2 linked regions of the Pelodiscus sinensis genome follow. The protein of the gene in region 2 interacts with the protein of the main gene of each other region in a pairwise test. Links are inferred from orthologs where the notes say so. Each region holds a gene or a part of one and is shown on either strand. Other genes may lie near its edges.

Evidence for each region. The genes of interacting proteins can lie anywhere in the genome.
Region 1: the proteins of HOMEZ (region 2) and DEF6 interact in binary tests that used the Homo sapiens proteins (3 or more experiments, as listed by UniProt). The two-hybrid records come from large-scale screens. The link is inferred for Pelodiscus sinensis from reciprocal best matches to the Homo sapiens genes HOMEZ and DEF6.

Annotation. Positions count from the first base shown.
Region 1 is NC_134737.1:12,263,740-12,271,217, reverse strand, and holds the start of DEF6 (differentially expressed in FDCP 6 homolog), read right to left. Parts: upstream 3,036-7,478; 5' UTR 2,610-3,035; coding exon 2,514-2,609; intron 1-2,513. Other genes in the region: ZNF76 (zinc finger protein 76), read right to left, coding at 5,749-5,853, 6,675-6,788, 6,877-7,029.
Region 2 is NW_027465928.1:42,057-49,916, forward strand, and holds the start of HOMEZ (homeobox and leucine zipper protein Homez), read left to right. Parts: upstream 1-4,800; 5' UTR 4,801-6,488; coding exon 6,489-6,917; intron 6,918-7,091; coding exon 7,092-7,205; intron 7,206-7,860. Other genes in the region: PABPN1 (polyadenylate-binding protein 2), read right to left, coding at 920-959, 1,151-1,302, 1,508-1,595, 1,689-1,795, 1,881-1,948, 2,904-2,985. UniProt on the Homo sapiens protein: May function as a transcriptional regulator.

The sequences.
Region 1 (7,478 bases), on a different chromosome or scaffold from region 2:
TGCACACTGGCACATGCCTCAGCGCATGTAAAACATTTATTCACACGTAGAGGGGAAAAATTAGAGGGAACATTGACGTGAAGCATTTAAATTCCGAGGCCACACGTTTCTTTTCGTCTCTCCCTGGCCCACGGGGTACAGAAGGCAAGAATCAGCAGAATCACACGAGGGCAAGTGCAATGCGACACGCCACCACGCTTTGCAGCTTCCGGGTGCCTTCTGTCTTGGGTAGGCTCATCCCTCCCAGCCATCTGGCTGGGGACCCCACAGCCACACCCATGCGTGCAGAGCTGGTCAGTGAGGCACAGAGAGGGTCGCTGCCTCGTCCAAGATCACACCTGCTCTACTGCAGCACAGGGAACAGAACCCAGAGCGCTTGACTCGGTTCCTAACCGCAAGACTACCCTTCCTTCCTGCACAAATACATGAAACATGCCCGGAGTCGAGAGAACGACGCTCAGCCCAAGAGCTTACCACATCCCCTGCTGCCAGGCCTGTGGGTGGCGGGAACAGAGCGAGAGACTGTTACATTTCACTGCCCAAAAGCGATGGCTGGGACTGGCAAGAGGGGCCTGGCTTTTGTATAATCCACCCCCAGGATGACAGGGACAGCTGTCGCTTTAAAGGCTATGGGGTGCTTTCTTCCCTTGATCGAAAGCCTCCTTGCAGCAGTACGCAAGGCTGCAGGAACGGCAGACCCCCCCATGGCACTTGACTGTCAGACTATGCCAGCGCAGCAGGGGACACTCAGGATAACGTGGGGTCTATGCCCCGAGGGCAGGGTTTTCTTCAACCTCTGCTCTGATGGCTTGGCATTTCTGGTGTCATTAGCAATAAGCAGCAGGCGTGGGTGGGACAGAAACAAATCTAGGCCAGAGGAACGGCCGGATACCTGGTACCAAGAGAGACTTGATCTCTCCGCCCTGCCCACAGCCAGGCTGAAACTCTCAAGCGTGGCGAGACCCAGCATGGGACAAAACAAAAGGCATCCCCACCCCCAGCACAGCACGTATGGGCAAGCGCCAGGAGGCTGCTGCTCTCACTGGCCGGTCGACGTTCTCACCCCGACACACGTGGGAATAAGGGCTTGAGAGGCAAATGGTGGGGGAGGGAAACCTGGATTCTGCTCTGAAGAGCAAATCTGGAAAAATGGCACCAGCTGTAAAAATCCCGGAAGCCAAACGCTGCACTTTGCAAGCCCAGAGCCGTGCAAGCGGGCCTGCAGAAGGGTGCCCACTAGGGCTTGCCAAAGTGCCAAGCGGGTGAGGTGCCCAGCTCCCAAGGAAAGTCAAAGGGAGTTAGGTGCCCAACTCAGGCGCCTTTGGGAGTCCCGGCAGACACCCAGCTGCCTCTTTAAGTGTGTAAATCTCTTTATAAATGTGGCCTCACTGATCAGCTGTTTGTCGGCTCAGCGCGGCAGCCATGTAAATTTAAATGAAGCCGCGATTATTTAAATCGCGGCTTCATTTCCCTTTGCCGATCTGTCTAATCTATATGCCTCCATCGACAGAGCCATGTAGTCTAGACACACCTCAAGTGTCAAGTAGGGTTCTTAGAAGCACGATTATTCTCCACAAAACAGAAAGCCAAAACTTTCATTAATTTCTCAGCCCTTACCCAGGCACAACTCCCATTGAGTTTAGCAGAATTTGACTCAGAGAACACAAGTCATTTCCCTGCTATTCGGTGGCGGGGTACTTGGCTACTTTCCATACATGAGGCTGTGGCACATCAAAACTCATCACACGTACATGCAGCAACTGCCAACTTCCTTCTGTTGCAATATTTCAGTCTTGTGTGTGTTTACCTCGCAGGTTGCGTTCCACATTACAAAAATGCTGACCAAATTCTTCAGACCCAGGGATCTACAGCTAAACCAGATATCCTGCAATTCTCATTGGCGTCTACTGAGCTGAATAACGTAGGTAGAAGAAACATTTTTAAAAACGAGGGAAAATGGGTTTGGGGCTCCATACAACTCAGGAGCCTTTTTGAAGCTTATGGGTGATCAGGGTAAAACCAAAAAAAAAGCTATTTTTGGTCAAACCATGAAGGACTGAAAAGTGTTTATTTTTAAAATGTTCTTCCTGCCAAGGGAGGGGGTGAAATGCAACAGGAAGGAGACAAATACATGACAGAGAAAGAAAAAAAAAAGTGGGTTCCTCACCTGGGATTAAGGTGGGTGAGAAACATTGTGAAAGTGGCCAAGATTGGAAGATTTCCACCCCAGAAAGGGGCTACTTCCTAACTCAGCTCTTTGGGAAGACCCCATCGCTTTGCCCCTCGTTTACACAAACGTCAATCAAAGACCGAGCCCGGGATAAGCCGTGGCACTGGCTATGCGCAATGTGAGTTTTGTATCCCCACTGCAGCCTACAGAGCTGCAAAGCAGCATCCAGCTCTGCCTCGTGCTCCCAACAGCGCTGTGACCCCCCCAAGGGCAAAGCAGAGAGCAGATCGGGACTCAGAAACCCCAGAGCCCCTCCCCGTCGCTTCCGCGTCTCTCTACTCACTTTCAGCTGGGATTTGGACACTTTGCCACTTTTCTCCACATCCAGGGCGGTGAAGGCGTACCAGATGGATTTTAAAAGCTCGGCTCGCAGGTCCATGGCTAGAGGCACAGATGACAGCGCCTGCTCCGTCAACGAGGATCCGGTTTCAGGAAGCTGACTCTTGTGCCAACAGGCCTCAGAATCCTGAATTGAGGGGCAGCAGCGCCATCTGATGACTGCCCCTCGGATAGGCCCGACAGCACTCCCATGCCTGGCCAGATGAAGATACTCCCCTTTCTGCCCTGCACCGGGGCATCAGTCCACCTCACTCGACTCTGCATTACCTTGCCTCTTCAACCGCCTACCCCCACATTTTAGGCACAATCTCAGCTCTGGACACAGGATTTGAGACTGGATATTACCAGCACTTGGCCATGCTCAAGCCACTGGCTGATCTGTTAGCTGGGTCTAAAGCCAGCCTGGTTGATCAGACAGCATCTTAATGATCTGGCAGCGGGACTTCCCAGTGCCCTGCAGCTGCTACATGTGTTCTGCCAATAGCCGCTGCTGGGCATGGCACCTCCCCGCACCCACAAAAGGGGAACAGATGCGAAATTTCTCAGCCCTTTGCCTGACAAATTTTGCTTTCGGCCCAAGTTTGAGACCAGACCGGAGAATCCCAGGGAGCGGGAACTGCTGAGGGCTGGGCAGGTGGCTGGCTGGGCAGTAACTCCGGATTTGTCTACACTTAAAAGTTTAAAGCACAGCCGCGGCAGCGCTTCAAAGCATGACCGCGGCACGAGCGCTGAGAATGCTCCCAGTGACCTATGTAAACCACCTCCACAAGGGGAGTAGGCTCCCAGTGCTGTAGCCTGGGTCACACTGGCGCTTTGCAGTGCTATAGCTTGCTGCACTCGAGGGGGAGGGGGAAGAGGTTCCCACACCCCTGTGCCCATGGGCGGCAGGTGATGTAGGCAAGGGAAAGCATTGCCTTCCCAAATTGTCTGCACTGCCCAGTTGCCTGGGAGGGGCTGGGGGACGCTTGGTAGCCTGGATCCCCGGCGGTCCAGAAAGATTGAGGCCATGCCACACGGCAGCCCTGGCCCTCAGCTGGGGTGGGCGTGGCTTGGCTGGAGAGTGGGGGAAAGGGTGTGAAGGAGCATGGTCTCAGGGAAGGGAAGGGGAGTCAGGTGTTGGGCCATCCTTTTACAGTCTTTGCAGAGCTGGAGACTCCCTGCTGAAAAACAGGACTGGCCAAGTCCTCAGGGAAGAGGAATGGCTTTGTGCTAAGATCATGGATGGAGATTTAGGAGATCTGGGTTCTATTCCTGGGACTACCCATGGTGAAGACTTAGAAGCCAGTGGCATGTCCTTTTGTCCACACCCTTACTGCTCCCTACTCCCGATGGTTTCTTGTGTGCTCTTGGGCCAGTCAATTAAACTTCAGCTGCTCCCGTCTGTAAAATAACCACCCAGACCCAACTCACAGGGCTGGGGGCAGAATAAACTGATCAATGAGGCGCTCAGATACTAACAAGGGCTGCGTATGTTTCTAGATAAAAAACGAAGGGGACTTGGGAGGTGCCTAGCAACTGCCCAATGAGCAGAGAGAGAAATTTTAACTCCCCCATGAGCCCAGTTGCAGGCTAAGCCCAGACTCAGTCACCTAGGGAGAGATTCGTTAGTGCCTACTAGAGGATCCAACAGGATCGAAATGTTAGCAGCTGCCTATAAGACAGTGGTGGGTGACCTCCGGCCCTCAGGTTGCATGCGGCCCATCGGAGTTCTGTGTGCGGCCCACCGGGCATTTTGTTTACCACTTCCCACAGGCAGGGGGGCCAGACTCTGCTGGTTTCCGTTCACGTCGGGTTTTTTCCTACCAGCGTTACTAAAGTGACATGCATGCAAAGCCAGGCTACGGGAAGTGAGGTGTGCGCTGGTTGCCCACAACACTGACCATGAGAGCCGTGCGCTCCCTCTGTGTCCGAACCACTGCCCCAGGTCAGTCAGCACAGCCTGCAAAATCTAGGTACGCAAGCGCCGTTCGCAAACCTGTTACCCTGGGAGCCTGTCTTGGCTATGACAACCTTGTGGCCCACGGAAGGAGGCCAACTCGCTAGCCTAGGTTGCCCATTGCTGCTGTAAGAGAAAGAAGCTCCTGGAAAGTCTGGGGGAGGTTTATTGCTAAGGCACACAGAGGACCAAGCCCCTAAGGCAATGCAGGGCAGAGCCAAAGTGTGTAAACTCAGCAGCTTTATTAAGTACATATCAAACCTTTCCCACTTTCTCCCTCTTCCCCCCATGGGCTGCAGGGATTGAATGAGAAAGAGAAAGGAAATTAAAAAAAACTTTAATTAGTTTTATTTAAACTCACTATTTACATCTAACTAGCTTGCGCCCCCGAGAAGTGCTGGCCTGCCCACGTGGAGTCCTACACCCGGCCCCACAGCAGCGGAATCTGGAAATGAGCTTGGCTGTTGCGTGGAAGGGGGATGGGGAGGGTGGAGGGAGAAGTGCCGTTGTGTCCAGGTTAAGGCAGATCCTGCCCGTGGCAGGCCCACAGCGTGGGCCGGAGATAAGCTCCGACTTCCAGCGTCAAGGAGTTATCGTCGTTGAGAACACCGAGACCAGGACTGCCTGAGGTTGCTGTGAGGGGGCTTTATTGCTTCTGTGCAGATGCTGCTTACACGACACTTGTGTTTGTCAGACCTTCTGGGTTCCTTCCTCGAGCACCTAGTGGGAGCGCGCAGACCCTGCCTCCCTGGAATGATTGCTGATGCCCCCGGGCGCCACGTAGGCTGTTGCAGCTCATCTTGCCTTGGAATTCCAACTCTTGGCCACAAAGGAGCACAAGAGCTTCTATGTCTTCTCCAGAGCCAGGGACATTAGCGTCCACGGAAAATGAGCAGGATAGTCCCAGATGGCAGCAGAGTGACTGCCCAGGATCCAGGAAAGCTCTGAAGCCTCCAGCCAAAAGCCAGCTGCCAGGTTTCTTAGAAAGATGTCACTTAAGCTATAGGAGACCTGTTCAAAGAGGGTCCCCTATCTGCTCTCACTGCCTGCCTGGTGCAAGACGGATGCACGTAAGTTATCACGGCCCCCCCCTTCTGCATTCGGTACCACGCATTCATTTGTCTTCCATGCAGCAGCTGGCACGGCTGTTTCAGATCCTGAAACCCCCAGCCGAACACAGGGGTCCATTGGTTTGCCATCCATGCCCCACTCAAGGCTCCCTGCCCATGGACTGTCCGATGCCTCAGCACCCGTTCTCAGACACAGCTGCACTGAGCGTTACAGACTCCTGTTGGATTGCTGCTGTCGCCATGCTGATGGCTTCTTCCAGGCTTTGCTGCTCTTCCAGCTATGAAAGGAGAAACACAAATGAATGGCATCGTTCTCCCATGCTCCAAGGCTGAGCCAGCCTGTATTTGACCTGGACAGCCTAGGGCAGAGTAAGATGCCAGGGGCTGGGGCGAGGTGGGAGGAGAGGAAGATGGGTGCAAAGGAGAGAGAAATACCAAGTGCTGAGGCCAAGCAGAGGGAAGGAAGATGGGTGCAGTCCGATGTAGGGGAGAAGAATGTGAGGCGTAGGCAACAGGTGCAGAGGAAGTGGAACACAGCAGAGAGAGGTGGGGTGGGGAGTAATGGAGTTCTGCGTGTTGAGGAGACGGCTGCACAGATGGTCTGGGGCAGCTGCCCCACTCCTCACGCTTTGGGAGGCCCTGCGGTGGCCACCTCCACTGCCCTAGAGACAGGCCTGGTGCAGCCTGATTCAGCCACCCAGCCCCTGGTAATCTCCCAGCTTGTGTGGCGCAGGGCAGGAGGAAAGGGGCAGATCAGGGCCTGCAGGGGGTTGCCCCAGGCCTCCATCCCCCTAGGGCCGGCCTGCTGCTGTAAGCGAGGCAGGCACTGTCAAATCCCTTGAAAGGGGGAAGAAGATGGGTGAGGGGGAAAGGCCACCAACAGAAACAACAGCAGACACGGCCAAGGCACACAGCTGGTGAGGAAAGTGAGGGGAGTCCAAAGGAAAGAACATAGAGGAAAGGGACACAGAGGCAGCCAGGAGACCTGGGTGCTGCAGCAGCCCCCTGGGGGCAGGTCCGAAGGAGATGCAAGTGGGAATCAGAGCAGGGTGACTGCACAGGAGTGAAGCTCAGCCCAGGCCAGGGTGTCCCCCTGTACCTGCACTGCAATGTGAGTGCCGCTGGCGGTGGCTAGCAATGCCACTTGCTGGTGATGGAGGGACGCGATGGCTGACCCTTCCGACATCACTGCCCCCGCAGTGACGATAGTAACCTGGAACACATACAGCCAAAGACATTACACGGCGCAAAGAGCCTCCTCGCACCCAGAACCGCCCCGAGTCGCAGAAAGAAACCCCTACCGGCTGCGTCTCAGTCCCGTCCGCACTGACCATCGTGACCGTGTGCGTGCCGGAAGCCGCAAGGTTCTCCTGTGGCATCGCGATGGTGCCACTCTGTGTCACCATGCTGATGGCACTGCCCAGGGCCTGTAAGTCCTCGTGGGACAGACTGACCTGTGACGAGAAAACAAATGGTTGGCCATCGAAGGGCAGACAGGACTCAGCTTGCACCAGCTGCCCTGCTGGGCAGAGGTGGTCACATGGGATATGAGCTGGCCCTTTGCCCATCCCTCTTCTGCAGCCCACTTGGCTTTCTCTAGTCCTGAGCTTGGCACCACGACTCCAGTGAGGAAGGGAGAGACCATGACTCCAGGCATGACCAAGGCACAGAGGCGAACTGACGTGCCCAAGATCACACGCAGTCAGTGACCGAATCGGGACTAGAACCCAGGAATCCTACTCCCCGTTCCCACCTCAAATCACTTAGCCTCATCTCACTCCCACTTGAAGCTCCTTCTCTCACGCTCTTGGGGGGCAGTTAGTTCATTTTCTGCGGCAACCTCAGAGGCCAATTGAGGAGCTATTCCCAGCAGCTACTTCCTGAGCCCTGGTCCGTAAGGGGG
Region 2 (7,860 bases):
TTTTCACCCACCCCTCATGTGATCCCTATTCCCACCCCCCCCAGCTCAGGGCCCCTCAGTGAGTTGGGGGAGGCCAGGAGGGCTTCAGCCCAGCCCCTGGGCAAATACAACTTTGATCCCTACGAACCCAGGAGTGCTGGTACCTGCTCCCCCGCCCCAGGGTTCTGCCCCCACAAATCACCTCACCCCCTTTTCTTTCTTCCAAAAAACATCTTTTATTTTTTTTCCACCCTCATAACATTTTTTTTATTTTTCCCCCCTCCCCCCTGCCCTAGCCCCACCCCCCAGCCTGGAAATTAAAATAAAGGGGGGAGGAAATAGCCCCCCCCACTCTGCCCCCCCCATATTTAATCTGGTCGCAAGAGCTTCGTGCGGCTCGACAATTCCTTCAGGCTAAAGCCACCTGCAAAGATAAAGACACTGAAATACGGCAGGTAACAGCCCCAGCCCGGATGGAGGGAACGGAGAAGGGGAAAGAGCCGGGCGGGGGCAGAAGGGGCAGGGCCGGGGGTGTGTCCTGCCCTGCGTGGGGAGAAGAAAAGGAAAGAGATGGGAAGATCCGGTCGTGTCCTGAACAAGGGAGCCCCGGGCGGAGAAAGGGGGCGCCGCTGAGACGGGATCCGGAGGGAAGGGGGCTGAGGGGGGATCCGGAGGGAAGGGGGCGCCCGGAGCGAGACGGGGAGAAGCGACGCGCCGGAGGAAGGACCCAGGCGGACAAGCGATGGGGCCGCCCGCAGAGAGAGGGGGAGCAGAGGAGGAGAGAGGAGGACCCTGCTCAGAGAACCAGCCTGGCCCCGGTCAGCCCCGCCCGCCCACCGCGCCCCACGGCTCGCCCCCACGGGGCTGCTCCAGCACTGTCACATTCTTCTTTTTTTTTTTTCTTTTTTTTTTTCCTTTTCTTTCCCAAAAAACACTTTTTTTAGTAAGGGGAATACCATGAGGTTGCTCTCGCCCGGCCCCTGCAGAGGAGAGAAGAAGGGAACGAGTTAATAAGCCGGGGGGGGGGGTGAAAGGAAGAGACAATACAACCAAAGAACCGAGGTGTCCTGGCTCCCAGCCCCTCCCTGCTCTACCCACTACCCCCCACTCCCCTCACAGAGCCAGGAGAGAACCCAGGCGTCCTGCCCTGCGCCGGCCCGGCCCCCCAGACCTGTATGAGCGTCCGCGGGGTCGGCTGTTGAATCCGCTGTAGAACCGGGCCCGGGAGCTGGTGTAGCCAGAACCGCGCCCTCGGTACCGGGCCCGGGGGAAGCCTCGGTCTGTGGTGCTGATGCCGGGCCGGTTGGTCCGTTTGGGGATCACCTGGGGGGCAGAGGAGGAGGGTCGGAGCACCCCAGGGACAGGGAGAAGGGGGACCAGAGGAGAGTTGGTTGGTGGGGCAGGCTCTGGGGGGCAGAGACAGATCTCTGGCTGGTACAGGGCTTTGAGGCAATGCTGCTGTGGGCCTGGAGAGGATCTGAGCCCAATCTTGGGGCTCAGGGCCCGGGTTTCGGGGTGCAGGACTCACCTTGATCTGTCGCCCCCTGAACAGGGATTCATCTAGCGCCATGGAGGTGCGTACAGACTCCTTGTCGGAGAACTCGATGTAGGCAAACCTGGGGGTAGGGGGATCCCACGTTAGACACCCCAAAAGCACAGGGACCCAGCCACCCCTCCCGCCCCAGGAGAGCCCCCGAAAGCTCACTCACCCTTTGGGGTGCCCGCTGTATTTATCGCACAGGATGGTGACGCGGTTGACGGACCCGCAGCCGTGGAAATGAGCTTCCAGCTCTTCAGCCGTCGCCCCATAATCCACCTGGAAAAGGGGGGCGTGGGCTGAGAAACAGGGTCCCTGGAACCCCCCAAACCTCCCCCACCCTCATCATGGCTCCTCCACTTACATTGCCCACGTATATGGACCGAGCGTCCGCCTCCATCTTTTCCTCTAAGGACATGATGACAGGCCCAGCTGTGAAGACAAAGCGGGGGGTTAGTGAGAGGGAGGCTGTACCCCAAATCTGTCCAGGGGCCCCTCCCTTTTTCAGAATAGGAAGGGGAGCACCCCCTTCCTGCACTGTCTTTACCTGGCATAACTCATGTGGCTAGATGCATAAACAATTGTGTTTATATAGGCCCTACGCAAACAACCCAATAGGGCAACATTTACGTAGGACCTACCTAAATGATTCCGAGCACAGGAGTGTGGCACTGGGAGGCCCCAGAGGGCTGAAGGGGAAGGATGGTCACCATTTACACAGAACCCACACAAATGAACGGCCGGCGTTTACAAAATGTATTTATGTAGGTCCTACAAAAAAAATCCAACAAGCACAATTCCCATGTGGCTCTCAGCATTGCCACCCCCCAGAAGTCTGAAAGAGAATGGGGGGGGGGAAGCTACTGGTTACATAGGCCCTACACAAACAGAATTGTGACCCCCAAATGTCTCCTAGATTCACCACCCCCACAGTCCAAAGGGGGGTACTGGGTACTTAGGTCTTACACAAAGAAGATGGTGGCGTTTAGGTAGGTCCTACACAAAGAGCTTTCAGGAGGCCATAATTCCTCAGTGTCTCTAGACTTCCCAATACACAAGGGGCTCTCAGCTGGAATTGGGGGCGGGGTTATTGTTTATGCAGGCCCTACAGAAATAAAATAGCAGCATTTACCTAGGTCGTCCTGTGCCAAATGCGCCCCAGAGCAGGGAGGCTCCCAAACACAGAGAATTCCCCACCACTCACAGGGGCCCAGGAGGAAGAGCGGGGGAGGGGAGGAAGAGAGTTCCTGTTTACGTAGGACCTACACAAATAAAATCATGGCTGTGCTGCTCACAGGCGTGCCCTGGCTGCGCCACCCGCAGAGGGTCCAAGGGGATTTCTGGGGGGAAGGGGGAAATTAAAGAGGACACGGGGGGGGGTCCTCACCATTGCCTGGCGGGGGGCTCATGTTCATCTGCTTCTCCACCTCATTCTGCAGCTCCTTCAGCTTCTCCGCCTCCTCCTCCATCTCCCGCACCCGGGCTTTGATGGCCTCCAGCTCCTGGGAGGCACGGGGGTCAGCTGGGGGGACCCCCCACGGCTGAGACTAACACCCCCCCTTGACAACCCTCGCCAACATCCCCCCTCAGCGCTGCCCTTAGTCCCCCCTTGCGGCTCTCCCTGCTGCCCAGCCCCCCAAACTCCCTGAATGCTGACCCACACACAACCCCTCTGCCACTGAATCTCCAACCCCCTATCCTGGCCCTGACCCCCCAGATCCCGTGCTAGATCCCCCCCACACAGGGGGCACTTCTCAGTTGTGCCCCACCCCGCATTCCCCCGCCCCTCCCCCTTAACAAGCACTGCCCCTCCCCCAAGCCCCCCGCCCCTCCCCCACCTACCAAGCACTGCCCCTCCCCCAAGCCCCCCGCCCCTCCCCCACCTACCAAGCCCCCCGCCCCTCCCCCACATGCCCCCTGCCCCTCCCCCCGCTCACCGGGTCCTCGATGGCGGGGTCCCCGGGGTCCCCCTCGCCCAGCCCCGCCTCCTCCTCCAGCTCCTCGGGGGGGCGGTGGGCGGGGCCCCCCCCGGGCCCGGCGCGCGGGGCGGAGGCGGCGGGGGGGGGCGGGTGCGGGGGCCCCCCCCGGGCGCCCCCCCCGGCCCGGCCCCCCCCGTCCAGCAGCAGCTCCCCCCCCTCGTCCTCCCCCTCCCCCCCGCGCCGCACGCGCGGCCCCGGCTCCGCCCCCAGCGGCGCGGGGGGGCCGGCCCCCCCCTCGGGCCCCTCCCCCGCCCCGCGCGCGCCCCCGGCGCTGCCCCGCGCGGCCGCCGCCACCGCCGCCGCCATAGCGCCTGCTGCTCTGCCCGGGCCGCCGCGCCGCGCGCCGCTCCTCATTGGCCGCCGCCGCCGGGCCCCGCCCCCGCCGCCGCGCGCCATTGGCTGCCGCGCGGGGCGGGCCGGCGGGGGCCCCGGAGCTCGCGCGCCATTGGCGCCGGCGCCCGTCCGTCAGCGGGCGGCCGCGTCCCCGATTGGCGGCGAGCGGCGGAGGCCGGCCGGCGTCCCTGATTGGCTCCCGAGCCGCCTGGTCTCCAGCGCCATTGGCGGAGGAGCCCGCCGGTCCGATTGGCTGCGGCGCGAGATCCTGGCGGAAGGGCTCTGGGGGCTCGCGCGCCATTGGTGCCGACGCCCGCCCGTCACCGACACGCTCGAAAGTGATTGGCCGCCTTCGGGGGGGGCCAACCCGACGCTTTCGATTGGCCGCCGGCCCGCCATCACTCCAACGCCATTGGCGCATGCGCCCGCCCCTCATTGGCGCCCGCCGCTGGGATTGGCCGGAGGCTCCAGGGCGAGGCTAGCGCCTTTGATTGGCCCAGCGCCGCCTCACCCCCCCCCCCCTCCGGCGCGCTGCCTCCTGATTGGTGGGGGCTGTTGGCCCCGCCTCGCCGCTGCGACCCCTTCCGCCCGAGCCGCTGATTGGCTGCGCAACGGCCCCGCCCCTCTGACCTTTGACCCGCCAGCGTTTGACCCCCCTGGCCCTCATTTAACCCCGGAAGTGCCCGCTAGACTGCCCCGACCTTTGAACTCTGGTCCTTGACCCCCGCCTCCTCACCCCTGCCCCCACCCCTCACCTGCCAGGTCCCCTCTCTCCCCTTCCCAGCTCTGCCCCACCCCCACCCCCCCAACCCTGCCCCCTCCCCCACCTCCCACCTGCCCCACAGCCCCCACCCCTCATTCCTGCCCCCCAACCCTGCCCCCTCCCCCACCCCCCATTCCCACCTCCCTCCTGCCCCCTCCCCCCCCATTTCCTGGCCTGCTTCCCAGGATCCATTAGCTGCCTTTGGTCTCATCAATTATTGATCCCAGATTGGAGCATTTTCGGCCCTTTGGCTCCCCGGCCCCAGACTGCCGGACGCCTGGGTCCCTGCCAGGTTAACTCTGGGAGGAGCCTTTGCCCCGCCCCGGCTGGTAAAAAGGGGGATCCCTGGGCACAGGGAGGAGAGGAGGCTGGGCGGAGGGGACGTTACGGTAACCGCCCCATCCACTTTGGACATGGAGGGACACTAGAAAGGGAGGGGTGGCTGCCGGAGGAAAGAGGAGGAAGGAGAAAGAGACGGAGAGCGCGCCCGGGCGAAGCCACCTCGGAGCCACAGAGCCCAGCCAGAGCAACCAAAAGACGGATGGCAAGGAGAGAATGAGACAGCTGCGGTGGAGAGATCGAAGGCAGCCCTGAGAGAAGAAGAGAGTCCGCAAGGGAGGAAAGCGGCAGACAGTTGCAGCGGGATCAGAGGAAAGAGGAGGAGACGGCGCAGGAACGACGGAACGAGAGGCACCCCGGACGGAGAGAGAGAGACCACCAGTCCCTGGCAGAACATGGAGAACAAACCAATCTGGCTGGCGTGAGAGATTCGGACTCTGAGGAGGAAAGGAACAAGCAGGCAAAGGCCAACAGATAGAAGACGGCAGGGGCCAGACGGAGACGGAGCCTCAGAAACTCAGGAAGGCAGAAGGCAGTGAGTTAGGTGTAGGAGAAAGCGCCCCGCCGGAGCAACAGAAGGAGAATTTTTGGAAGGAAAAAACACAGAAGATTGTGACAAGCAAAAGAACGAGTCAGATCTCAGCAGAGAGAGAGACTCGGACCCTCCAGAAGAGGCAACGGAGGAAGGCAGCAACAAGGAAGCGGTAGAACAAGCCGCCGCCATGACGGAGCAATAAAACAAGCCACAGCCCAGATGGACTGAGCGGCAGAGTGGACAGAGAGCCAGCAGGATTCAAACCCCAGATAAAGCAACAGAGCAAGCCAGAGCCCAGGAGTGATAGAATGAGTTGGCTCCCAAACAGAGCGACAGAACAAGGCAGGGCCCAGACACAGCGGTAGGACTCAGCACCTGGGTGGAGCGATAGTGACGGCCAGATAAAGCGATGGAGCCAGGCAGGGCTCAGACTGACAGTTAGAACAAGGCCCAGACGGAGTGAGAGAAGGACTTAACGTCTGGACCGAGCAATACAATGAGGCAGGGCCTTGGCCAGTGACAAAAGGACTCAGCCTCCAAGCAGAGCGACAGAACGAGGCAGGGGCTGGGACGGTCGCAGGGCTCAGCCTCCAAGCAGAGCGACAGAACGAGGCAGGGGCTGGGACGGTCGCAGGACTCAGCCTCCAAGCAGAGCGACAGAACGAGGCAGGGGCTGGGACGGTCGCAGGACTCAGCCTCCAAGCAGAGCGACAGAACGAGGCAGGGGCTGGGACGGTCGCAGGACTCAGCCTCCAAGCAGAGCGACAGAACGAGGCAGGGGCTGGGACGGTCGCAGGGCTCAGCCTCCAAGCAGAGCGACAGAACGAGGCAGGGGCTGGGACGGTCGCAGGGCTCAGCCTCCAAGCAGAGCGACAGAACGAGGCAGGGGCTGGGACGGTCGCAGGACTCAGCCTCCAAGCAGAGCGACAGAACGAGGCAGGGGCTGGGACGGTCGCAGAAGGACTCAGCACCCGGGAGGAGCGGCACAAGAAGCCAGTGCCCACGCGGACCGAACCAGGCCCCATGGCGCGCGCCCCCCCGCCCGCCAGTGACATCCCACGCAACCTAAGCTACATCGCGGGGCTGTACGAGCGGGCATATTACCGCACGGTCCGGCCCAGCCTGGGCGACGACTCCGACTCAGAGGCCGAGGGGCGGGCGCGAGGGCCCAGGCCGCGGGGACGCCAGGGCCGGGCGGGTGGCAGAGGGGGGCACCGGCGCCGCAGGGCCCGCTCCGCCCCGGCCGGAGGGCCTGGGGGGGGCTCCCGCAGCCGCAGCCCCGGCGCCCGCAAGCGGGTGCGCTTCGCCGATGCCCTGGGGCTGGAGCTGGTGAGCGTGAGGCGCTACTGGCCAGCCGAGCTACCCCAGGTCCCGGAGCGTGTGCACACCCAGCTGCGGCAGGACACCCTACGCCACTTCGCCCCCCTGCGGCCCCTCTTCTCGCCCAGCCAGGTAATGGGGGGGGGCAGGAGAAAGCGGGGGGGAGCATACGGGAGGAGAAGACAGTGGAGGGATGTGCACAAGAGTTGGGGGGCAGGTCCCCAGTAGGGGGCGTTGGGCTCCAAGGTGGAAAACTGCACATTAACTTTCTCTTTCTTTTTCTCCCCCCACCCTGGCTTTCTCCAGGACCCCCAGGACCCACAGGCAGGGCGCCTGCCGCTGGCACCGTGTTTCCGGGACCCGCTGGGACTGCCGGACTTCGGGGCACGGCTGGGGGCGCAGGGCGTGTGCCTCGAGGGGGTGCGAGCCGGGGGGCTGGGGGTGGCGGGGACCCTGCGGGTCCTTAACCTGGCCTACGAAAAGAGAGTCAGCGTCCGCTACACCTGGGATGGCTGGGCCAGCTACCGGGAAGCCCCCGCCGCCTACGCCGGGCCCCCCGCCGGGCTCCTGGCCGGCCCCCCCTCCGACCGCTTTGCCTTCCGCCTGCCGCTGCCCCCCGGGGGCGCCCTGGAGTTCGCCCTCCACTGCCACGTGGGGGGCCAGGAGCTGTGGGACAACAACGAGGGTCAGAACTACGTCCTGCGGGGCGGGGGGCGGGCCGAGGGCCCCCCCAGCCCCCCACGAGATGGAGAGGGTGGCTGGATCCACTTCATATAGCGGGGTGCACAGCCATCCCCTCGTGGAGAAGAGACTTCACGGGGAGGCCCCACTTGCAGCCTCCAGATCCTCTGGGGGATCTGTGCGGGGGGGGGAGGAGGGTTCGAAGTTTAGGGCCCTGTGGCCATGGGGGCAGGAACGGGGATGGGGGGGATAAAAGGGGAATCGCGGGTTGGGAGGAGGGTTGGGCTAGGATGGGGGCGGGTGCAGACCAAAGACATGCCCCCTCCCATCGGTCACCACCCCCTGCCCTATGGCACTGCACCCCTACTGCACACAGCAGTGAGCCTTCAGGGAG